Pelodiscus sinensis: one gene and its partners. The protein of the gene in region 1 binds, or shares a complex with, the protein of each later gene. Links are inferred from orthologs where the notes say so. Each region holds a gene or a part of one and is shown in the gene's direction. Other genes may lie near its edges. The genes, in order: AXIN1, SIAH1 and GSK3B.

Region 1 (7,878 bases):
TTTGCTGAGTCAGAGCGGGGTGTTTGTACAGTCGCTTTTCAGAGAAGCGTTGCATTTTAAACAGGAAAAGCTCTATTCAGCTGCGATTACCTGGTAGAGCAAATCTCTCCCGGCTAACACCCCCACACCCACATGTATGAGTAATAGGCACAGAGCTGCCTTTCTGTGCAGAACTCTTCCTGAGCCTGGAAACATTACACATTTAAATGTGGTAACATTTAACTAGAGCTGGCAAGCGATTAAAAAAAGTGTGATTAATTGTGCTGTTAAAACAATAATAAAATACCATTTACTTAAACAGGTTTGGATGCTTTCTACACTTTCAAATATATTGATTTGCATTACAACACAGAGTACAAAGTGTAAAGTGCTCACGTTTGTTTTTTAGAGTGCAAATATTGTAATTAAAAACATATAGTATTTTCAGTTAATCTAATTCAAGTATAGTAGTGCAATCTCTTTATCCTGAAAATTGAACTTACACATCTATAATTGTGGACAAAAAAAAACTGCACTCAAGAACAAAACAATATAAAACTCCAGTCCACTGAGGCCTACTTCTTGTTCAACCACTTGTTCAGGCAAACAACTTTATTTACATTTGCAGGAGATAATGCTGCCCTCTTCTTGTCACCTCAAAGAAAGAACAGGCGTTCACATAGCACTGCTACAGTCGGCAGCACAATGTATGCCAGAGGTGCTAAAGATTCATATGTCCCTTCATGCTTCAACTGCCATTCTAGGGGACATTTGTCCATGCTGATAATAGGTTCCGCTTGATAAAGATCCCAAGCAGTGCAGGCTGACTTTCATTTTCATCATGTGAGTCAGATGCCATCCCATTGTTACCATCTCTGCGTTTTGTCAAATCTGCAGGGAAAATGTTTTTAAAATGAACATGTGCTGCGTCATCATCCAAGACTGCGCTAATGTGAACTATATAGCAGGAGACATGTCATTCTCCCCCAAGAAGTTTTGTCTCAAATGTTAACACTCTTTTTTTAAACAAGTGTTGTCAGCATGGAAGCATGCCCTCTAAAATGGTGGCCAAAGCATGAAGGGACATACGAATATTTAACATATCTGGCACATAAACATCTTGCAATAGCAGCTACAATAGTGACATGCAAATACCTGTTCTCACTTTCAAGAAACATTGTAAATAGGTGGGCACCTTTATAGAATCATAGAACACGAGAACTTTGAAGGGACCTCCAGAGATCATCAATCTAGTACCCTGCCCTCATGGCAGGACCAAACACGGTCAAGACCATCTCTTATAGATGTCTACCCAACCCTGCTCTTAAATATCTCCAGTGATGGAGATTCCACAACCCCCCTAGGCAATTTATTCCAGTGTTTCACCACCATGACAAGTAGGAAGTTTTTCCTAATGTCCAACCTAAACCTCCCTTGCTGTAGTTTAAGTCCACTGCTTCTTGTCTTATCATCAGAGGCCAAGGAGAAAAATTTTCCTCCCTCCTTCTTGTAAGATCCTTCCATAACTGAAAAAAAAGCTTGTTTATCTTAGAAATTGGCTGAACAAGAAGTAGGAACAAGTGGACTGGTAAACTCTAAAGTTTTACTTTGTTTTGGAGTGCAGTTATTTAACAAAAATGTCAACATCTGTAAATTGCACTTTCATGATAGCCTGCACCATTGTATTCATGAGGCGAATTTAAAAATACTATTATCATTTTTCTAGTACAAGTATTTGCAATCAAAATAATAGAAAGGGAGCACTGTACACTTTCCATTCTGGGTTGTAACAGAAATAAATATATTTGAAAATGTAGAAAAACATCCAAAATGTTTAATTTCAGTTGGTATTCAATGGTTCAATAGTGTGATTAAAGCTGCAATTTTTGAGCTAATGTGTGAGTTAACTGATTTGTTGACAGCCCTATATTTAACCATTAGGTTTTTTTTAAAAAAACAGTCTATATCTAGGTAGAACATGATTCCAATTATGCCCCTCTCAGAGTTATAGTGCATGTTGCTTTTCACATGGCTCCCCGAAAATGCCACTTCTTGGTGAGAACGTATGTCGACTCCAGCTGCAGAATATATTTAATCTGACTAGGGAAACCGGAGACCACAGGTCTCAAACTCCCAGCCTGCAGGCCATCCTCAGCCAGAGCAGTTGTGCAATATGGTGTAGTATGCCTGGTGGGGGACCTGTCCATTACTGCCCCAAGCCCTGCCCCTTCCCACTATTGCCCATCCTCTCCCCGCTCCATGGCACCCCATCCCTCAAGGATGCGGCTTCAGGGATCATGGGGAGGAGGGTGCCTGGTGTTGCAGTGGGCATGCTCCTTATACTACCTGCGAGTGCGTTTGACCAGTGTGCCCCACTTCCCCTGCTACTCCTGCTGCTGCAGGGAGTGAGGGGGGCCCATCCACTGCTACTGAGCCACACCAGGCCCCCTCCCTCCATAATCCCTGAAGCCCCATCCTCCAGGATGGGGTGCCATGGGTGGAGTGAGGAGTGATGGCATGAAGGGGCGGGGCTTGGGGGCCCGTAATGGACAATCCCCCTCCCCAGTCTGCCAGAGTCCCAGGCTGGATTGTGCAATTGCTCCAGCCAGAGATGTCCCATGGGCTGGGAACTTGAGACCCCTGCCAGAGACTAGACTGTCTGTTTTTTAACCAGGTGTAGCTGTTTGAGCTGAAAAGAGTGACTGATAAGACAAGTATCCCCTCCTCCACTGACACACATGTAAGGCTTGGACTATTTTTCAGGCAGACACATGGTATTAAACTGTGTTGCCTACTGAACTTTGGGAATCTGATAAGACCTCCTTCTCCAGCTTCAGCTCTGGAATCAGAGAGGTTTCTGGAGAATGAGGCTTTCCCTGGGCACTGCTCTGGTTGGCACCTTTCCAAGGGATCCTTCTTGGCTGAGGTTCTTCTGATCAGAGCCACTAGGAGAAAAAGAACAGGACTATTCTACACCCTCCCCCACCCTTGGGATCTGAGTCACCCCAGCATCAGCACATCAGCTGAGTCACTGGCGCCCCTTTCAGGGGCTGAAGGGAACCCACCTGCTGTCTGAGCCAATCACAGCCTCTGATTGTTTTACTCCCCCCTGTTCCCAGCATGCCGAGCAGGATCCTGCGCTGGAACTAGGTGCTATATGAGAACTGACTCATTAGGGAGCAGCTACTTGATAAGGCAGGTGGTGGTGGAGGGAAGGCAGGCAGCTCATCCTGCCCTAACTTTGTTATGGAGAGCGGTAACTGGGGTAGCTGGCATCCTCATTCCATGGTCCACCCCCAGGCTCCTAAGCCTATTGAATTTTTTTTTGAGTTTTATTATTAATTTGAAGGAACAAGCTACCAAACAAATAAAGGGAAAGAAAAGGAAAAACCCAGCTAATTGGGGTCAGAGCTGACGGACCCAGGCTGTCCACTGGCTCCTTTGTGGGGACAGGGATCTTGCCCGCTGTCCACAAAGTCCATCTTCTTCCTCTTTGATTTGTGAAGCCTGAGAGCTGAATCTCACCCCAACAGCCAAGTGGGAACCTGTCCCTGCTCTATTTTAAGGTGTACTGAAATGTATTAAAATGGATAAGTACCGTTTGACACGACATTGAAGCCGATACTGACTGCCTGGTATGCTTCAGGCAGGAGAAATGTACACAAGAGAAAAATCACAGATGTGAAGGGAAATGTCCCTTCAAATAAAGCCTTGTCCCTTGTTTTTCACAGGGTTTTTCCCTTACTGCAATCAGCAAAGATGATCGCTCTGTTCGGGTCTCCCACCAGGGCTGGGTTGGATGAAGGCTCTCCAGGCCTTTGGGAACAGCCCCACAATTGGCCCCTGTGGCCCCATTTGCGCACTTGACGTGGCAGTGCCCTCAGTTCCACGCTTGGAGAGGCAGGTACAGCAGCACGGAGCCCACTTCTTGCCTAGAAGCAGCAGCAAGTTTTCCTCCCTTTTGTGAGCAACAGGTTTCTCCTGTTCTTGTCCCAGCACCTGAAGTGGGTGGGCCAAGCCCCTCAGAGCAGGGGGGCTCACACTGCGGGGTGCACAGACCATAATCCCCTCCTCAGAGTTATTGAGTCAGGCTCCCTGCAGACTCTGGCATCCGTGACGCTTCTGCCCTGTTTTCAAACAATTCCACCCAGGCAGGCTAGACGTACAGGCTACATCTACATTGGCAAGATTTTGCGCAAATACTTTTAACGCAAGAGTTTTTGCGTTAAAGTATTTGAGCAAGAGAGCGTTTACACTGGCATGTGTTTTTGCGCAAGAGATGTGCTTTTGCGCAAAAGCATCCGTGCCAGTATAGACGCTCTCTTGCGCAAGAAAGCTCCGATGGCCATTTTAGCCATCGGGGTTTATTGCGCAAGAAAAGCATGTTGCCTGTCTACACTGGCCTCTTGCGCAAGAACAGTTGCGCAAGAGGAGGCCTTTTTCCTGAGCGGGAGCATCATAGTTCTTGCGCAAGAAGCACTGATTTCACACATTAGAAGTCAGTGTTCTTGCACAAGAACTCCCCGCCAGTGTAGAGAGGCAGCATGTTTTTGCGTAAAAGCGCTCGCTTTTGCGCAAAATCATGCCAATGTAGACACAACCTAACTGTTTGTGTCTACTAAAACAGAGATTGTGAGATTACCAGGACTCCAGGAGCTAGGGCCTAGCATTAGCTTTTGTGCCTCTGCCTCAGTCCCACCAGGGCTTTCCTCTGCCACACCGCAGAAGTGTTTGCAGTTGGAGCCAAGGTACCAACTTGGGTCTCTGAGGCTGTGGCCTTCCCTTTCCCCCCTTCCCTGGTCCCTCCTGACTCCCAGGACCTAGGACTGGAGGCGGGAGGAAAGAGTTGGAGCCTGTTCCTTATCAGGAGCCAGGCGTGTGCAGCAGCTGCAGAGGTAGCTAATGGGAAGCCGGGGATGGAGCCGAGCGCGCTGGTGGCGTTTCTCCCTGCAGGCTGCTGCGGGGACACGCTCGGGTTGCCTGTCTGAAGGTGCCTGTGGCCGCGGAGATGGGGACGGGGGGGTTTGATGCCGCTTAGAAGATCCCCGCCCCGGGAGCTGGCCCAGGTCCGCGGCTCGCCGAGAGGCAGGTTTTGCGTTTTCCGGGCACAGTTCGGACGTTTCCGCGTCTTCCCAGCGCCGGGGAACCGGAGCGGGCTCGGCCGGGCTCCCCGCCGCGCTGCAGGCGCCCGCTCCTCCTCAGCCGCCGGGGCCCTGCTGCGCCCCCCGGCTCGGGCTCCCGGCCCCGCGGCGGGCTCGGGCTCTCCCGCAGTACCGGGCGGAGGCGCGGGGGGCGCGGCGGAGCCGGTCTCTCCCGGCTGGGCTGAGCCGTGCGGGGCTCGCCGCTCTCCGTGTCGCCGCCAGAGCCCGCGGCCGCGGCCATGGGGGTCCCGGGCCGCCCGCCTTGCGCTGCTCCCCGGCGGCCGCCGCCCGCGCTCCCCGCCTGCCGCCGCGGCTGAGCCGCATGGGCCGGGCCCCGCGCCGCGGCTGCTCCGAGCGGGTGAGCGAGCGGAGCCAGGCCCAGGCCGAGCCGGGAGGCCGCCCCATTGTGGGGCCGCCGGGACGGGCCGCCGCTAGGCCGCTGGGGCCGGGCCGGGCGTGCGGGGGGCCGGGCTCCGGGGGTCCCGGGCCCCGCGTCCTGCCGGCTCAGGCGGAGCCGCGGCTGCTGTCAGCGCCCGGCCGGGGAGCCGGGAGGCAGCGGCCGCCCCTCGGGAGCCCCGATCCGCGCAGGGGGAGGTGACAGGCTGGAAATCCCGCGCCGGGCCCTCAGGCGGCGCGTGTGTCCCCGCGGCGTGGGCCGGGGCGCCCTGGCCTGGCGAGTCGCACCCGGGCCTGGCCCGCGCCTCGGAGCAAAATGGCTTGTGGGTCAGTGCGGGCGAGCGAGGCAACGCGCTGGGAAAGGGGGCGACGTTTCACGGGGGGCCGGGGACTCGCGGGTCCGTGTGGTGGGGCTCGGATGAACCCCGGGGCCTGGCTGCTCTCGTAGGGACGAGAAACGCACCGCGAACGGGGCAGAGGGCGGAATGATTGGATCCGAAATTGCAGGTGTTCAGGCAAACCTCAGCATAGCGCGCGTGTGTGTTTTGGCCCAGTAGCTGTGCTGAGTAACTGTATCTCTTGGCCTCAGGATCACAAAGCCAGTTGAAACCCACAGTTACCTGGGAATTAAAATCACTCAGCCTGGTTGTTTCCCATGTTGTCTTGTTTTGTGATGATGCGCAAACTGTCGGGTGTCTTGAAGGCCAGGAAGGGCACCTTCTAGCTGTATTTGTTCAGCTCGGGGAAAGTTGTCCAAAAGATGCATTGGTTTGTGTGGGCTTTGCTTTGTGAGAGTGGCTTTTATTTCACAATTATTTCCCTTGGTATATTTTCACATGCAGTTGAGTTAGTCCATTTAAAGAAGTGCTCTGTGAGACAGCTGCAGCTTTACAGCATTCAGGTTTTTTATCCGAGGGGGAGCCGTGTTAGTCTGAATCTGCAAAAGCGGCGAGGAGTCCTGTGGCACCTTTCGTGGGCAAAGACCACTTCGTCAGATGCATGACTCACATGCATCTGACGAAGTGGGTCTTTGTCCACAAAAGCTTATGCTCCTACACTTCAGTTAGTCGATAAGGTGCCACAGGATTCCTCGCCACTTTTGCAGGTTTTTTAGTTGACCCAGAATTATTTTGTAACACTCAACTTTTGTTAGTGTCTTGAAAGAATTTAGGTTATATTGATTTAGTACACAAGTAGGTACCAGAGGTTGTACAACTCTACTCCTGTCTCCAGACATACCTTTTTTTTTGCACCATGTTGGTTCAAATTACTTTTTTAAATATTGTTTGATTATTTCTTCTCAGGTGGTGGCTAGGACTGTTCTCAGGGTCAGCAGCAAATAATGTTTGTTAGCTTATGTGAAACTTCAGTAAATAGCTCCTGCTCCATGAAGTATGATGATATATTCAATAGTGCTGTGCCATACACACAATTTTTACATTATGTTCCTTTATTACAGGAGTGTCATTGAGAAATATGCAAAATATTCTGGGAATGATGATGCTTTTAATTTCACTAAGGGATATTATTCACTTACCCTAATTAATGCTCAAAATGCTTTTCAAGTGCTGAGGTGATGTCAAAATGTGCCAAGGACTGGAGGGGAATTTCATAGTGTGTAATGGTGATTGTATTGGAACGTATATGGCTTGATTACATTATATTCTTGATTTTTAGTGCTAATTGGGAGTATTTTCAGAGAATTTTTTCATACTCTGAAAGAAATTCCAAAATTGTTATGGAGATGTGAATTTACCTAGTATTTAGCTATGTAAAACTACTGCTTATTTTATGAGTTTAGGATATACATGTTAAAATTCAAGTAAATCTCCTCTTTATGAAATATATAAATCCTTTTAGGATTGTTTGTTTCAGTACCTCTGTAATAGAAATATTGGCGTGCTCTAAAAATAGTCACGTTAGAATTTTTGTCTGCAGTATTTTTAATTTTGTTCTCGTTTTGTTTCAACAGGACAAACACATTCACTCTGGAACTCCTGATACTGGTGTTTTGAGGCTTAGCCTGGTCCCTCCTTGTTTCTGTGCAAGCAGGCACCATAAAAATGAATATCCACGGGAAAGGCTTCCCTTTGGATCTTGGGGGAAGCTTCACCGAAGATGCTCCAAGGCCACCGGTCCCTGGTGAGGAGGGTGAGCTAGTTTCTACGGATCCAAGGCCAATCAGCCATGGCTTCTATTCTGGGAAAAGTGACGTGATTAAAAATGAGACTTCTACAGCAACCCCAAGGCGCTCTGATTTGGATTTGGGGTACGAGCCTGAAGGGAGTGCTTCTCCGACTCCACCCTACTTGAGATGGGCCGAGTCGCTGCACTCCTTGTTGGATGATCAAGATGGGATAAA
Region 2 (7,699 bases), on another chromosome or scaffold:
CCACTATTTCATGAAAAAAATTATGGTCTGTGATAGTCAGATTACTGGTCACTTTGATAATCCATTTTACCATTTCTGGGGGCATGTGTTACAGCTGGGTTTCCCAACCGAAAAAGGTTGTACACCACTGGTTTAGACCATTTTTACATTTCTGTGAGCACTGCTATCATTTTTCCCCTTTTCAACAAGTGTACCTTTTCAGCAAGTCTGTCTTAGAAGCTAACGCTCACACCTGACACTAGCACTGCCTTCTTTTGACCTGAATGGCTAGTCAGAGTTTGAGGCCCTAGGATATTTCAGTTAAGATGAGAAATTGGTGATAGCTAGGTATTTCTTTGATCCAATTTTGTTCATTTACAAGGAATGTATGTAGATCTCACCGAACAAAGGAGGAATCGAATAGGAGAGAACATCTTTTCTTGTTCTCAGCACCAAGAAAACACTTGTTAGCATGCACACAAAACTTATCACAGCAATAAAACCGCACACGAGCCCCACAAGCCTGACTCGGGTGGCACGAGCCATATGCATGTTTTTTCTTGACTGTGGAGACATACCCTTAGTTACTATTTCTCCCTCTGCGTTCTGCTCCTCAACTTTCCTTAAAGAAATGCTGGGTTGTTGGGTTTTTATTGGTTGTTTTTTTGTTTGTTTTTTGTTTTTTTGGTCCTAGGTGGTGGCTTATCCTTCCAGTTACGTTAATTGAAGGGTGCATTAACACCCCCTCAGTCAAATGAGGTTTTAACTTAACCAAAAATTAGGTTTCATCCAGCTCATAAGATAGCTTTTAAAAAACTGGTCTTGTTTTTCAGTTAGATCTGATCCACTCCTCTTCCATCTCCTAATTGTTTTTTCAACTTTGAATGAAGTAGGTCTGGATGACCTTGAAGACCAGAGTAAATTCAATTGAACACAGGTAGAAAGTCATGCATTTAGGGTCTACTAATTTCTGCTACAAGCTGGAGGATTACCAGTTGGAAGCCACAGATTTAGGGAAAGATCTGGGTGTGTTCTGGTCAATCACTGAATGACAATAAGAAACCAATATGTGGCTGCAGAAAAAGGCAAATGTGATTTGAGGATGTATCAGGTGAGGTATTTCTGCTGGAGGGAATCTGGAATACTGTATACATCTGATCGCCTGTATTAAAAAATGTGTTGAAACTGGAACAGATGCAGAGAAGTGCTACTGTGATGAATAGGAGAGTAGACAACCTATCTGAGGAGCTTGGAAGAGCTTGTTTTGTTTAGTCTAGCAACAGCAAAAAGAGGGTGGATATGATTAGTCTCTCTAAATACACTTTGTGTGTGTGTATACACGTATGTATGTACCAGTGATGGTGAAGAGCTATTTAAGCTAAGGGACAGTGTTGGCAGAAGAATAAATGGGTATAAATTGGTCATGAACAAATTCAGGATAGAAAGTAGAAGGATTCTAACCTTCCAAGCAGTAAGGTTTTGGAATAGCCTTCAGCCCTACTGGGAGATGAGACCAAACAAACAAACTTTTGCGAGAGGGCAGGCCCAAATATAAGTGTTGATAGAGTATTTTTGTGATGGTGGGGAGTAGGGGGTAGCAGTTCTGAGAGGGTTTATTTCGGTTTATGTATTACGTTCTTAAAACTTATGTTTCAAGGCTTCAGACAGCTACCTGAAGAGATCAGGAAGGGATTTTTCCTCTGTGATGTATTGCAGAGGTTTTTTGTTTCCTTTCTTTGAAGCATCAGAGAAGGCCGTTTTTGCAGATAGGACACTGAAAAGGCTGAAATGGAGCACTGAGAGGGCCCCAAGCATTCTCTGTCTCAGGTACTTAATTTGCTGGTTATTCCTCCTGTTCAGGGTCCAACTACTTGCAGTATCTGGGGTTAGATGGTAATTTTCCCTTAGTGATTTTGGAGGACTTTCAACTTCCTGTGCATCATGGGTAATAGGATGCTTTCCAAGTTTAACTGCGTATATTTAATTTAATCAGTTCCCTGTAATCTTGTGTGTTGTGAAACTTGGATTGGCTGGTTAGGCACACTCCAACACCAATAACACAGAGATTAAATCATTGGTTATGATATTCTGTTAAAAAGAAAAAAGTGTTAGTAGCCCATAATCTTGAGATCATCACACAAAGCCAACTGCTGATTACTTTATAATGGATGTTTCTTTAAAAGTTAAAACAATATCAAGCATCATGTGGAATTAAAAAGATGACTATTTATTAGCAAGTCTTATGTTTATAGCTTTATTTTTGTAGAATCTGTTCTTTAGAGTGCAAGTTTAGAGCTTGTCTGCAGTGGGAGTTATTCAGAAACTACTATCCCAGAATAATATGTGTAAATGCTGCAGATGTTTAAAAACAAACAAAACTATTAGTGGATTGAATTTCAGTCTGTTAAATGCTCCACAGACTGCTGGGAGTTTAATTAGTAAGGTTAACTGATAAGATAATGCTTATTGGTTAAACTCTTGCATCTCTAGAGTTACTCCTGTTCTTGAATAAGAGTACCTTGTTTTTGTTTAGTTTAATACACCTTTACATTATCAATTATAGTGTAATAAGTGAGTCTAACCCGATTACAGGCAGTCCCCAAGTTACGTGGATCCGACTTATGTCGGATCCGCAGTTACGAACGGGGCTTTTCTCGCCCCGGAGGACGCGAGCGGCAGGACGCCCAGATGCGCAGCGGCTGTTCTGCTGCCACCATCCTCCGAGGCTTTGCTCCCCGTCTCCCTGGTCTGCTGGGGGGAGCCCCCCCCCCCGGCAGACCAGGGAGACGCGGAACAAAGCCGCGGAGCACGTGGGCAGCAGGACAGCCCAGACGCACCGTGGCTATCCCGCTGCAGGCGTCCTCCGAGGCTTTGCTCCCCGTCTCCCTGGTCTGCTCCCCACAACAGACCAGGGAGACGTGGAGCAAAGCCGCGGAGGATGCGGGCGGGACCACGGTGCGTCTCGGCGGGACCGCCACCCGCGTCTTCCTGGTCTGCTGGGGAGGAGAGGCGCAGCTAGTGTGCGCCCCCCCCGCTTCCCCCCAGCAGACCAGGCTTTTCTCGCCGACAATGCCTGGGGCAGAGCAGCTGGGGTGCTGCCGGGTTGGTCCCGCAGCGCCGCTCCTCGGCGCTACTGGACCAACCCGGCAGCACCCCAGCTGCTCTGCCCCAGGCGTCCCCAAGTCAGCCGCTGTAGGTTTGTTCTTAAGTTGAATTTGTATGTAAGTCGGAACTGGCGTCCAGATTCAGCCGCTGCTGAAACTGACCAGCGGCTGACTACAGGAAGCCTGGGGCAGAGTTGCTCTGCCTCGGGCTTCCTGTAATCAGCCGCTGATCAGTTTCAGCAGCGGCTGACATGTGGATACCTGGAGTAGAGCAGCTGGGTGCAGTGGCTGAATCTGGACGCCAGTTCCGACTTACATACAAATTCAACTTAAGAACAAACCCACAGTCCCTATCTTGTACGTAACCTGGGGACTGCCTGTATATAAAATAGTTGACACTGGATTTTCACTAGACAGTATTTCAGAATTGATAATGCAGTCCATAGCTCTGAATACTGCAGAATCAACAGTTTGCATTTTTGAGCTCTTCAAGTGTGAAAACATGGTGTAGGAAGAACACAGAAAAATTCTCTAAATCCATAATCTTTAAATCACTGACTTTCCGAACTGGTACATGTCTTGTGTAAATGATCTTTTTTTATTAGAATAGTCCTTATTTTGCAACTGTCAGTGGTTGGTTCATACTGCATTAGGTAACTCTTTTTTTTATTATATTAAACCAACTTTTGTATGCAAGAGGGGTTTGTGTAAAGAGACTATAGCTCCCTGACACAAGTTCTGGAAATGACAACAGTTGTTGACTTTTGTATAACTCTGTAATAAATAAGAGGGAAACATATCAGACACAAATGTACATCAGGATAATTCCATGACTATTGAAAGTGAATGGGAATTATTAAAATTTATAATTGATCTGACTTTCAGAAGTTTGTGTAACTGTCATGTGCAGTCTAGAGACACCACAACTGTTATTGAAGGTCAATTGAGTGAAATTTGACTCTAATAAGTAGTAAGCGTGACTAGCTTTCTATCTGAACTGTTGCTAAGCTTACCTTTCTGTATGAGACTGGACTGCTGTTTAACTCTTTATCTCAACTATTTAAGATTCCATTGCAAACCAGAACTTAATTCTTCAAAATGAAAGTCTCAGAAAGTTAGCCATGTTAATCTGTAACTTTAAAAACAATGAGTAGTCCTGTGGCACCTTAGAGAATCTATATCTATATCTATATCTTTATCGAGAGAGCCCTGAGCCTTCTTGGGCAAAACCCACTCTTTCAGATGCGCTGAAATTGGAATCCAGAATTTATAACGGAAAAAGAAGGCGGGGAGGGGGGTGATGGGGAAGGAGTACCTGCCAATTGTTGTGCTGCTGTATAAAATCAGCTTTCCATGCATTTAACACCTCATTTACATAAAAAAAACTAAGTATGGGATACTTCCAGCCCACTCAGCTGTACTTTTTGTTTTTCTCTCCCTTTTTTTTCCATAAAAATAAAAGTTGATGAAGAAGCTAGAGATTTTGTCAGCTAGGAGGAGCCGTTGGACTTCTGAAACCTCTGGAAATGTGGGTGAAATATAGCTATTACGACTAAAAATATCAGCACAATTCCTAATATCCTACAGTCCTGTCAGCACCAGATTAAATCATGATTTTTGTAACCAGTTAGAGACATGGTCACTTTAACAGTTACGTGTATCACACTTCAATTTATGTTTAAATAGAAGCTTTTGCGAATATCGACCTATGATTATGCCAGCACTCATTGGGGTAGGGTTAAGGACTAAGCCTGCCAGAATTCATGTTAGGGTTAAGTTTTATTAGCATGCATGTAGGCTTTTTCATTTTGAAAGAATATTTTCTAGAATGTTTTTACCTTTTATAACTGATCATCACTATTATCAGTATATTAAGGGAAAGCAAACATATCTGTTTAGGCAGAGGGTCTTTGATGGGAAGTGCATTGTGAAGGAAGGAAAATGTTTTTCTAGGACATTCCTTGATCAGAAGGGAGTGAGACATGGGTCTCCAGCTAAAAGAGGCTACAACTGGGAGAGCTGGAAGCCTGTGATTGAGTGCCCATTTTGGACCACTGAGAGGAGCAGTTGTCTTGAACTGATATACAGTTCTAATAGTTTTCTGTAGTCTTCCAGGGAAAAAACAAGGGTGGTCAAACTCTGAATTTCTAATGTAGTGGGAAACACTTTTTTCCTTTAAAAAAAAAAAAAAAAAAACTTGGACGTTTTATACATTATAGAACTCATACACAATGTTTTGCCCTTTTGCAGGCAACCTCTGTTTGCTCTTGGAAATCTTGGGTTTACAGATTTACTATGTTTGTGTTTAAAATGTGCCTTTATGTCTTCACTATTACTGTTTCACGTACTTTTACAGTAATCCCAGGTGCCAGTTTTCCAGAATCCAGTATGTTCAGTACTGGATAAGTTCAGCTGCATCAACTTGATTTTTTCCACTTGTGTGAGGATCAAGAATACTGGGTACAGAAATGGTCAGCTCATCTCGAAAAAGTTATATTGGCATTAGCAAGGCTTGACAAACTGCGGTGAGAGCTACTCGCCAGCCCCACACCGCGCATGTTCCAGACCGGCACTGCGCATGTGTGTAGCGCCGGTGAATGGGGTGCACAGAGCGACCAGCTGAAATCTACTCACCATGGGCGAGTAGAAACAGTGGTTTGTCGAGCCCTGGGCATTAGGAAAAGGTTTAGAAAAGGGCAACAAAAATGATTAGGGGCTTGGAATGGGTCCTATTTGAAGAGAGATTAAAAAGACTTGGACGTTGCAGCTTAGAAAAGGGGAGCGTGCGGGGATATTATAGAGATCTATAAAATCATGAATGGTGTGGAAAAAGTAAATAAGGAAAAGTTATTTACTTGTTCCCACAATAGAACAACTAGGTCACCAAATGAAATAAATAGGTAGCAGGTTTAAAACAAAAGGAAATTTTCTTCAAACAGAGCACAATCAGCCTGTGGAACTTCTCGCCAGAGTATGTTGTGAAGACAAGGACTTTTAACAGGGTTGCAAAAAGAGCTAGATGAATTCATGGAAGTTAAGTCCATCAACGGCTATTAGCGGTGTCCCTAGCCGCTGTTTGTCTGGAAATGGTTGACAGGAGAGGGATCACATGATGATTACCTGTTGCGTTCCCTCCCTCTCGGGTATCTGGTATTGGCCAGTGTCCGCAGACAGGGTACTGGACTAGATGGCCGTTCTTAAGTTTAAAAACTGTGCCATTTCTTAACAGCTCCATGGAATCTTCCCACACACCTGTTTTCTGCACTCTTGCCTGGGTTCCTCTGCCTTCTGGAATAGTCTTTATGTAGGAAGTTTAACACATTTACAATTCATTACCACCCAAGTGTCAGAAGCAAATCAGTAAAACTAATCTGATTACTGGCTGCCAGCTATCCAATTTTCAACTGGACTGCCCAGTCAAAAAGGGACCCTAGTGGCTCTGGTCAGTACCAATGACTAGTCTATTATTAGGATTGCCAGGTGTCCGGGTTTGAACCGGACAGTCCAGTATTTGAGCTTTCTGTTCGGGAAACAGAGAAAATATAAATGTCCAGTGTCTAAATAAGATGTAATGTAGTTTGTGATGTAATGTCAAGTGCGTCCCGTTTTTTTGTTGAAACCATCTGGCAACCCTCCCTATTAAAAGTGCCACCAACTGGATAGTAGGGCTGATGCAGTTATGCTGTTGCTTCCAGGAGCTGCTTGAGTTAAGCAGTAAGGAGGTTGCATCCCTGAGCTCAGCCTACCCCAACCTCCCTCCCACTCACTGAACCCTTTGATACTAGGCTAAAGCCTCCTCCTGCACCCTAAGCGTCTCATCTTCAGTCTCATCCCAGAGCCTGTACCTCCTCCTGGAGCTACAACCCTCTGTCTTCCCCCATGCCTCAGTCCCAGCCCAGAGTATCCCTCTAACCCTCAAATCCCTACCCCTATCCCAAAAGTCCGAACCTCCAGCTGGAATCCTTATCCCCAGGGCAGCCCAGCCTCCATAAAATGAGAGATGGGGGAGGGGGAGCAAGTGGGAGTGGAGCCTTGGAGAAGGGGCAGAGGCAGGGTGCTTTTATTGTGGAAGTAGAAAGTTGGCAACTCTCTTACGGGCTTGTGGGGGACAATACTTCATAGCTTTTCTCTCTTACATGCTTTAACGTCACATTTTCAAAGTGGATTTATAGGTTAGAATAATACTGTTACAAATAGGTATACAAAATTGTGGTTGTGGTGTTGTGTAAGCCTGTTGGCTGCTACTCAGAATACTCATGTACAGGAAAAGCAAGAAATTCAGTTATCAGCTGTTGGAAACAGCTTTAATCAGTTAAAATTCCGCAGCGTATTTTATACGGGGCAGTTGAAGTAGCTTCTAAAAGTAGCAGCGAGCGAGTTTCTAGCGCGTTGTAGGTAGGTGGGGCACCACCCATTCTTTCCCGGCGTTTCGGAATGTGTTTTGCTGACGGCACAGCCATCTCGGCTGATCACATGAGGTCGATATGCCAGGGTGGCTCCCTGGGCCTGGGGGAGGGAAGGAAAGGCAGCACGCAGGAGCTGCCGTCTGCTTTCTCCGCCTCCTCCTTTTTCCGTGCGCCCAGGCTGGTGGTAAGAGAAGCTCAAACAGAACAGTG
Region 3 (7,719 bases), on another chromosome or scaffold:
TAATTTATACAATAATAATGGTTTATAGAACTTATCTTCTGGGATCATGGTGGGTTGCGCAGCTGCCATGCCCCCCCCTCCTTGCCCGCTCCTCCCTTGTCTGCCTCTGCCTGCTGCTGCCCTACCTACTCAGCAAGGTCAGCCCTGGGTGAGTGTGGGTGGGGCTTCCAGTCAGCAGGGCAGGGCACATAACTATTTCGGAATAGGCATTATTCTTCTTAGAATGAGGTTTACAGAAGTCAGAATAAGCCTCCTGTTATTTCAAAATTATGTCAAAATAATGCTATTGCTGTGTAAACGCTTGCAAAGTTATTTCAGAATAATAGCCATTATTGCAAAAAAACTTTGCTGTGTAGATGCACCTATAGAGACCTAAACAGTGGATATTTGAATATAACGATTTAATTTTCTTAGATTTAAAAGACCATGACCAAACCATTCTGCAGTCCAAATCATGTAAATAACTTTCCCTGCTCCTGGTTGGAGTAGGACACTATTAAGAGTTGATTTACAGCACAAGAAAAGGCAAGAGGATGTGAATTTCTGATTGGTGGGTTGTTGAGTGGATTGAGCTCTGAATGGTGGATCCTTAAGGGGGATGGATATGAAAGTGCCCCAGAAGGGAGGCATTTGGGTGATGAGAGGGTTCTGTTGCTTTACTGGTGGGATTTAGGAAGGCTGAGCTATCATTTAAGAATGGTATACCAACCTAGCTTCTATAAATGATATAGCACCTACTGAAATAATGGAACGTTTAGCTTTTCAGTAGTACAGAATTAGAGTTTCAGACCTTAAACAATTTCTGGTCCCTTGGACTACTTAGAAACATAAGTCATCTCCCCCCTCCCCCTTCCCCCTCCCCCCCAAAAAGGTTAGAATGCTTCTAGCAAGCATCTTTGGCTGCACTGGCATGAGCAAAGTGCTGAACAGGAAAATTTGGAGTCAACTAATTTATTTTTGAAGCAGCATTCCTACTTGGAAATAAAGTTGTTGTAATGTAAAGGATAGGGTTTTAGTTACGTTTGGCGAGATCTAAATTACAAATATTTGCTGGTATAGCAATTTTGGTTAGGGGCATGATTTTTTTTCCTCAGTATTTCTATACTGGGAAAAATCCAAGAGTAGACAGTTATAGTGGCAAAAAGTGCTTTTGTTTTGTTCAGCAAAATAGTATAAGCTACACTGGCAAAAACATTTATAGGTTGAAATTAAGGAGAGTTTTAACATATAAATATAGCAGCCTCACTCTTTTTTTTTAAGTTTTTGGTAAGCAGATTTGATAGGTGGGTTCCATGCCTGCTCATGAGGTTTGATAGCCATGTGATAAAACCAGCAGTAGGTTTCCCTGTGCTCTGAGATACACTAAGACTGTGTCTAGACTGGTCAGTTTTTCCAGAAAATCCGCCGCTTTTCCGGAAAAAGCTTGCCAGCTGTCTACACTGGCCGCTTGAATTTCCGCAAAAGCACTGACGATCTCATGTAAGATTGTCAGTGTTTTTGCAGAAATACTATGCTGCTCCCGTTTGGGCAAAAGTCCTTTTGCGCAAAACTTTTGTGCAAAAGGGCCAGTGTAGACAGCCCAGATTTGTTTTCTACAAAAAAGCCCCAATTGCGAAAATGGCAATCGGGGCTTTTTTTGCGGAAAAGCGCATCTAGATTGGCCACGGACGCTTTTCCGCAAAAAGGGCTTTTGCGGAAAAGCATCTGTGCCAATCTAGATGCTCTGTTCCGAAAATGCTTTTAACGGAAAACTTTCCCGTTAAAAGCATTTCCGGAAAATCATGCCAGTCTAGACGTAGCCTAAGTGCTGACCAATACCATTTTGAATTAGTTTCAAACTTTATCATGTGTGCAGTTTATCACACACCATTTGTCAACTTGTGTTGTTCCCCTCTGCCTGATAATTGAAGGCTACTTCCAGCTTTCCCAATCAGCTTCAAATAGTAATCTTGTTTTTTAAAAAGCAACCTTTCACAGAAATGTCTCCTTTCCCGAAATGTGGAATTTCTCTACAAAAATTACTCAAGGCCTAGGACTAGCATGATTCAGTGCAGTCACAGTGACAGATTGAAAATCTTATTTTTTATAGTTTGGCAGAAACAAGAATGGCAACTTCACATAATTAAGCACAGAAGATTCACAGCTTCCTTAGGTTCCTCCAACACTTGCTTCTAGGAAATTCCCAAGACTCTATACTTAAATCATGAGATTGTTACATATAACTATTTCTGGACATTTAAGAGATTTTTATTAATCCCTCTGAGCCCTGTCCAAACACAAGGTAATTTAGGCATTTGGCGTTAAAGGCAAGAGTTTCATAAAAGTAACTCCACTACCCCGTTTAAACTCTTTGATGAAGAGGAAATGCTTTGAAACATTTATTTGAGTTCCAGTTGCTACACACAGAGAACACACAAAGGTGTACTTTGATGGACAAGCTTTACTAGCACAAAGCATGTACAGCCTCTCTCCGAGTTACGGACCAAACACTTGGCCATAACTTGATCCATTCATTACACGCGACCGCACTGTTCGTAAGCATGGGTCGCGTTCGTAACTCAGGGATTGCCTTTACGACTACTCCATCGGAGCTTTGATAGTAAGTGCGAATGGTTGTAATTCGACCGTTCGCAACTCGGGGAGCAGCTGTAGGTGTTGCCCACTGACGTGTGTAATGTCTTAGGGTTGCCAGGTGTCTGGTTTTCTACCAGACAGTCCAGTTTTTCTGTCCGGTAAAAATAATCCAGAAAATACCGGACACGTGCAATGTCCGGTATTTTCTGGTTTTCCGACTGGGCACCCGGAAGCCTGGTGTGTGTGTGGGGGGAAAAGAGTGGCTAGGAGGTGGGGCGCGATTGGCACTGGGAGCCCTGGTTCCGTGTGAGAAGGAAGGGCAGCCTGGTCCGTGATCCTGCGAGCTGGTCAAGCGCGTGGTGGAGCCACAGCTGGACTGACTCATGCTTCGCCTGAACCGTGCAGGGGGGGAGCGCCCTGGGATCCAGCCCCCCCCTTCCTCCGGCCAGCCCTGCTCCCCTCCCGGCTAGTCCCTCCCCCCCACTGAAGTGTGTCTGGTATTTTTTTTGAGACTACCTGGTAACCCTATAATGTCTCAAAAAAAAAAGTGGCTTTGCATTTTAATTTAATTGCATGATACTCTCTTTTAGTTTTAAAGTATGGATTGCTGAATTATACAATAAGCGCCAAATTGCACATGTAAAAAACAAACTAAGTACAGGCAGTCCCCGGGTTACATGGATCCGACTTACATCGGATCCCTATTTACAAACGGGGTGAGGCAACCCCGCACTAGCTGCTTCCCCCCAGCAGACCAGGGAGACACGAAACTAGCGCGCCTCCCCCCCCCCTCCCCCCCCAGCAGACCAGGGAGATGCGGAGCAGCTTTTCTCAGCAGACACCTCAGCTTGAGAATAAAGGCCTGAGGGAAGTGAGATGTGGGAGAATAAAACTGAGCTCTGGAGAAATGTTTGGCTAGAGTTTCCCCTACAATATGTACCAGTTCCGACTTACATACAGATTCAACTTAAGAACAAACCTACAGTCCCTATCTTGTACATAACCCGGGGACTGCCTGTATACAATGTCCCATACTTAAGTCTGTATTTTTAAGTAAAGTTTAGTTGTTCATTTAAAAAAAATTAAGTTTAGTTAAATTTTAGTTTCTTTTGTTTGTTTGATGAATACAAATAATGTCCTTTATGATTAAGTATTCAATGAATTTTCGCCTTAAAAAAAATTCTCTGGGTGCACACCCTAATGAAATGTGCTGTGCACGCCTATGGTGTTGCTCATGCCCTAATGCAACTGCCCCACACGCACGCTGAACATTTGCCAGCTTCCCCTCCACCCTCTTTCTGTGCTACCTAGGTCTCCCCCCCCCCTTGTGAAGGGACTGGCACACGTGCAGAGTGATGCCTGGGTCAGGCCTGGCCCCTGCAGGGACAGCAGCAAAGGCAGCACGCCTGGCAGCTGTGTCCTTCTGTGGGGTCCCGCTGTCTCGGTGCAGCTGGCGCGCACGGGCACTGCGTGGGTTGCCTCCGCAGCACGCGCCGGCCCCACCCAGGAGCGGCTTTGGGGGTGCGCAGTGCAGCAGACCATGGCGCGCGCGAGGCTGCTGCGCCGGGCCGCCGGGTGCCACGTTGAGCTGCGCGGGCGGAGCTTGGAGCCAGGCCGCTGCCCACCCAGCTCACGGCTGGGGATGTGGGCGGCCCCCCCCCCTCGGGAATGGGCCAGGCCCGCCCCCTCTCCAATAGGGATCCGCGTTTCGAAACAGACGGACGACGCTGGCGATTGGCACCGCGCAGAGAACGGGTTGGATGACGTCATTGGGCCGCCTAATCCTGCGTAGCCAATCACATGACAGCGCAGCTACCCAATCACAGCCAAAGCCGCTCAGCGGCCCAGGCTTCACTTTAAAGCTCAGGTAAGTAGGGAACCGAGCGGCTTCTGATTGGCTTGCCCACTCCGTCTATCATCGGATTCGCTCGGCAACCGCCGGAAGAGACTGCTCCTTCCATTGGCTCCGCTCTCGCGGCTGCTAGGGCGGAGGCAACGGCTTCTGATTGGCTCTGATGATCTTCGGGTTGGTTCGGCTATTTCCGTAGCGGCCTGGCGATTGGCTCCGACGCATTCCAGATGCTGCCGTTGCCGCTCGGTGATTGGCCCCACGCTGGTGCGGCTGGGCCCGTACCCAGCGCCGGATTGGCCCCGACGCGCTTCGGGTGTTGCCGTGCGGGAGCCTCGGGCTGGGGCTGGCAAGTGCGTCGGGCTGGGTATTCACGGAGCCTGGCTAGCGCCGTTGCGCAGCGTAGGGCGGCGACGGGGATAGGCGGCTGCGCGGCTTTGGCGCACACACACAGCGCAGCGGCGGCAGGAGCCGGGCACGGAGCGGCGGCCGCGGGGACAAAGAGACTGAGCGGCGGCGGCCGCGGGGCTCCCGGCAGGAGGCAGCCGCTGCCGGACGAGGCGCGGGGGACAGCGGCAGGCGCAGTCGGCCGGGCCGGCGGGTCCCATGTGCCCGGGGCGCCCCGGGGAGCGGCCGCCGCCAGGGCTCTGAAGCCGGCTGAGGAGGAGTTGGGGCCGGGAGCCGCCGCCATGGCCTGTGCCGCCGCCTCCGGCCGCCACCCGCATTGCAGCCGCCCCGGCGCGAGCCGCCGCCCGCTGCCCCTGCGGGCGCTATGAGGAGCCGCGCCGAAGCCGCCGCCTCATCCCCGCACTGAGGAGCCCGAGCGAGCGAGGCCGCCCGGCCGCTTCACACACACCCCTCACTCCGCCCGCCGCGGATCCCACCGCCCGCGCCGGATCCTCTTCCGTGTTCGCATCCTTCACCTCGGTCTCGAGGAGCAACGAGCAGACCCGGAGATCGCTCCGCCGAAGAAAATAGTTCCGTGGCTGCTGCTTCCCTACGAGGCGAGGGGAGAGAAGGAGAAAACCCGGCGAGGGAAGAAGAGGAGCTCGGCCCTCGCCTGCGCCTCATGTGACTGGCTCCCGGGGTGGGGGCAGCAAGGCCTAGCGACCCCCCGCTGCTTCCCGGCCCTCGGCAGACGCAGCGCCGGGGGGACTGGTGTGCTGGGTGGAGGCAGCTGTCGGGTCCAGTGGTGCTGCTGGGGAGGATGGTTTTATAAAGCAGGAGCGAAGCAGCCCTGAGAAGAGAGACCCGGAGAGGGTTCCCCCGCGGGGGAGGGGGCTGGAATTTAATGTTGCATTTTTCACCCCTCTCCACCTGAGAGAGACGCGCGTACGCAAACCAGGAAAAGAAGAAGGCGAAAGAAAGAAAGAAAGAAAGGAGGTGATCCGAGGGAGAGAGAAAGAGACCATGTCAGGGCGGCCCAGAACCACCTCCTTTGCAGAGAGCTGCAAACCAGTGCAGCAGCCTTCAGCGTTTGGCAGCATGAAAGTTAGCAGTGAGTATTGATTCCCCACCTACACTCTGTGCAGATTAAACATCGGGTTTTTTAAATGTAATTTGCACTGTTTGTCAGTAAACCTAATTGTGTGGAGAATTCTGGGCTGGTCAGTGGAAGAAGAGCTAGGCTGTCTCTAGCACCGTACGAGGCAGCCGCCTTTCTCTCCCTTTCACTCCCCCTCATTAACCTTGAATAGGCACCCATGGTTTCCATTTCGGCCTGTTTAACAAAAAATACTTTTGTGCCTTTTTGTCTCTTGTCTATAACAAGATTGTTGTCAGTTTGACCTGCTTGTTAAAGGGAATATTTCTGTTCGAATTTAGTTTTAAAGAGCTATGTGCTGCGTTTCTGCCTGTGGAGCAATGGAGGGAAGGAAATGAATTACGTGCACATATGTGCTCATTATACATATTTGTACAGTTGTATGCTTCTAAACCTATTCTGTTGTGAAAAGTGAAATGTTTGCTCTAGATATGCACTGATAACTAGAGTGCGAGTACTTTTTTGTGCAGGCTTACCCAGAGATTTAGAACAGTCTATTTCCCATAATAGCTTGTGTTTCAGGCTCTGTTAAATGTGCTGGGGGGGGGAGAGAAATCTTGAATATGATATATTGTGCACATATTGAGTTGGGAATGCAGGATTTCCTTTTTCACTAGCTTTCAGAACTGGGGCTATTTGTTAAAGAATGAGATCTGTGGCCCCATTCTAAACAGTAGCATTACATGTATGTTGTAAATTGAGTAAGTGGTTTAATGTGCTAATCCTTGATCTTCCGGTTATGGCATTGGGATTTTGAGGAGAATTAGACATGTATATTTAAATCCTATTAATCAAAAAGGTGAAGTGTTGGAAGAAAAAGGCCTGATTGTGTATTTCTAAAGCTGTTACATATTTATAATCAGATTTTTTTTATTCCTGGCTTGTATCTGTTCATATGCAAAGGTAAAATGGTTTTGCTCATCTTTCTATGTGATCTATGTGAATAATTTCCAATCAAAGACACTTCAATTCCACACTTGTAGAAATCTAGATGGCTTTATGAAAAGGACCTTGAACATCTGATATACATTACTATTATTTAAATTGATCATTTTGAGGCTTGCATTTTGATATTTACACCTGGCAAAGCTGTATTCATATCCTGTTGCTTTATTTGAATATGTGGAGCTTTAGTTTACAGCAAGCTTTAGGTTAATTTTGAGCTCTTTTTGTCTCAGATTCCTGCATTTTCTAGTCTGAGATGCCTTTTGCTGCTGTGGTAGGAGCTTTGAATAAAAAGGTTGGGTTTATGGTTTGAAGTCTACCCTGTCATGTCTGCGTGATCAGGATACCTCAAGTACTTTTGCAGATTTTGAGTAGTTTGCCCATATTAGCAGCATAAGACTGTACTGTTGATTAGATGTAGCAGTAGCACATTTCACTTTTTATATGGAGAATATTGTATGACTCCATTTTATTCTCATTCATTCTCCTTCTATGAGAGTAGAAGAGGAAGCAAGATGTGTTAATCAATGTTTCTACATATAACTTTATGTAAAATAGACCTAGATCCAGAGCTGTCAAACCAGAAACTAAAATGGTCTAACCTAAGCTTTTCCTCTTATTTTTTTTTAAGTTTAATTTGATTCTTTCTTCATATATGAGGTCAAAGTTTAGGAAGCTGCATGCCCATAAATTGGTGTGAACTAACAAGATAACAAATACGATTGCTTTCCTACCATGTTATACAGTGGCATTTAAAGGCCCACAATGGTGATAATCCACCGCCATTGTTATCCTGTGCTCCAAGTCC

What was found.
Region 2: the proteins of AXIN1 (region 1) and SIAH1 are in contact, whole or in part, in a crystal structure (PDB 5WZZ), measured with the Homo sapiens proteins. The link is inferred for Pelodiscus sinensis from reciprocal best matches to the Homo sapiens genes AXIN1 and SIAH1. Residues at the interface, in NP_003493.1 of Homo sapiens: Pro378, Lys379, Glu380, Val381, Arg382, Val383, Glu384, Pro385, Gln386, Lys387; in NP_003022.3 of Homo sapiens: Cys130, Pro131, Ser154, Thr156, Leu158, Asp162, Ile163, Val164, Phe165, Leu166, Ala167, Thr168, Asp169, Val176, Asp177, Trp178, Val179, Met180, Asn272.
Region 3: the proteins of AXIN1 (region 1) and GSK3B are in contact, whole or in part, in a crystal structure (PDB 4B7T), measured with the Homo sapiens proteins. The link is inferred for Pelodiscus sinensis from reciprocal best matches to the Homo sapiens genes AXIN1 and GSK3B. Residues at the interface, in NP_003493.1 of Homo sapiens: Glu384, Pro385, Gln386, Phe388, Ala389, Glu391, Leu392, Ile393, Arg395, Leu396, Glu397, Val399, Gln400; in NP_001139628.1 of Homo sapiens: Ile228, Phe229, Val263, Asp264, Leu266, Val267, Ile270, Lys271, Asn287, Tyr288, Phe291, Lys292, Phe293, Pro294, Gln295, Ile296.

What each region holds. Positions count from the first base shown.
Region 1 is NC_134726.1:4,493,973-4,501,850, reverse strand, and holds the start of AXIN1 (axin-1), read left to right. Parts: upstream 1-4,862; 5' UTR 4,863-4,969; exon of another isoform or gene 4,970-5,064; intron 5,065-5,181; exon of another isoform or gene 5,182-5,478; intron 5,479-5,547; exon of another isoform or gene 5,548-5,843; intron 5,844-7,488; 5' UTR 7,489-7,579; coding exon 7,580-7,878. UniProt on the Homo sapiens protein: Component of the beta-catenin destruction complex required for regulating CTNNB1 levels through phosphorylation and ubiquitination, and modulating Wnt-signaling.
Region 2 is NC_134722.1:28,842,029-28,849,727, reverse strand, and holds the start of SIAH1 (E3 ubiquitin-protein ligase SIAH1), read left to right. Parts: upstream 1-4,636; 5' UTR 4,637-7,699. UniProt on the Homo sapiens protein: E3 ubiquitin-protein ligase that mediates ubiquitination and subsequent proteasomal degradation of target proteins.
Region 3 is NC_134711.1:142,772,113-142,779,831, forward strand, and holds the start of GSK3B (glycogen synthase kinase-3 beta), read left to right. Parts: upstream 1-4,704; 5' UTR 4,705-5,833; coding exon 5,834-5,921; intron 5,922-7,719. UniProt on the Homo sapiens protein: Constitutively active protein kinase that acts as a negative regulator in the hormonal control of glucose homeostasis, Wnt signaling and regulation of transcription factors and microtubules, by phosphorylating and inactivating glycogen synthase (GYS1 or GYS2), EIF2B, CTNNB1/beta-catenin, APC, AXIN1, DPYSL2/CRMP2, JUN, NFATC1/NFATC, MAPT/TAU and MACF1.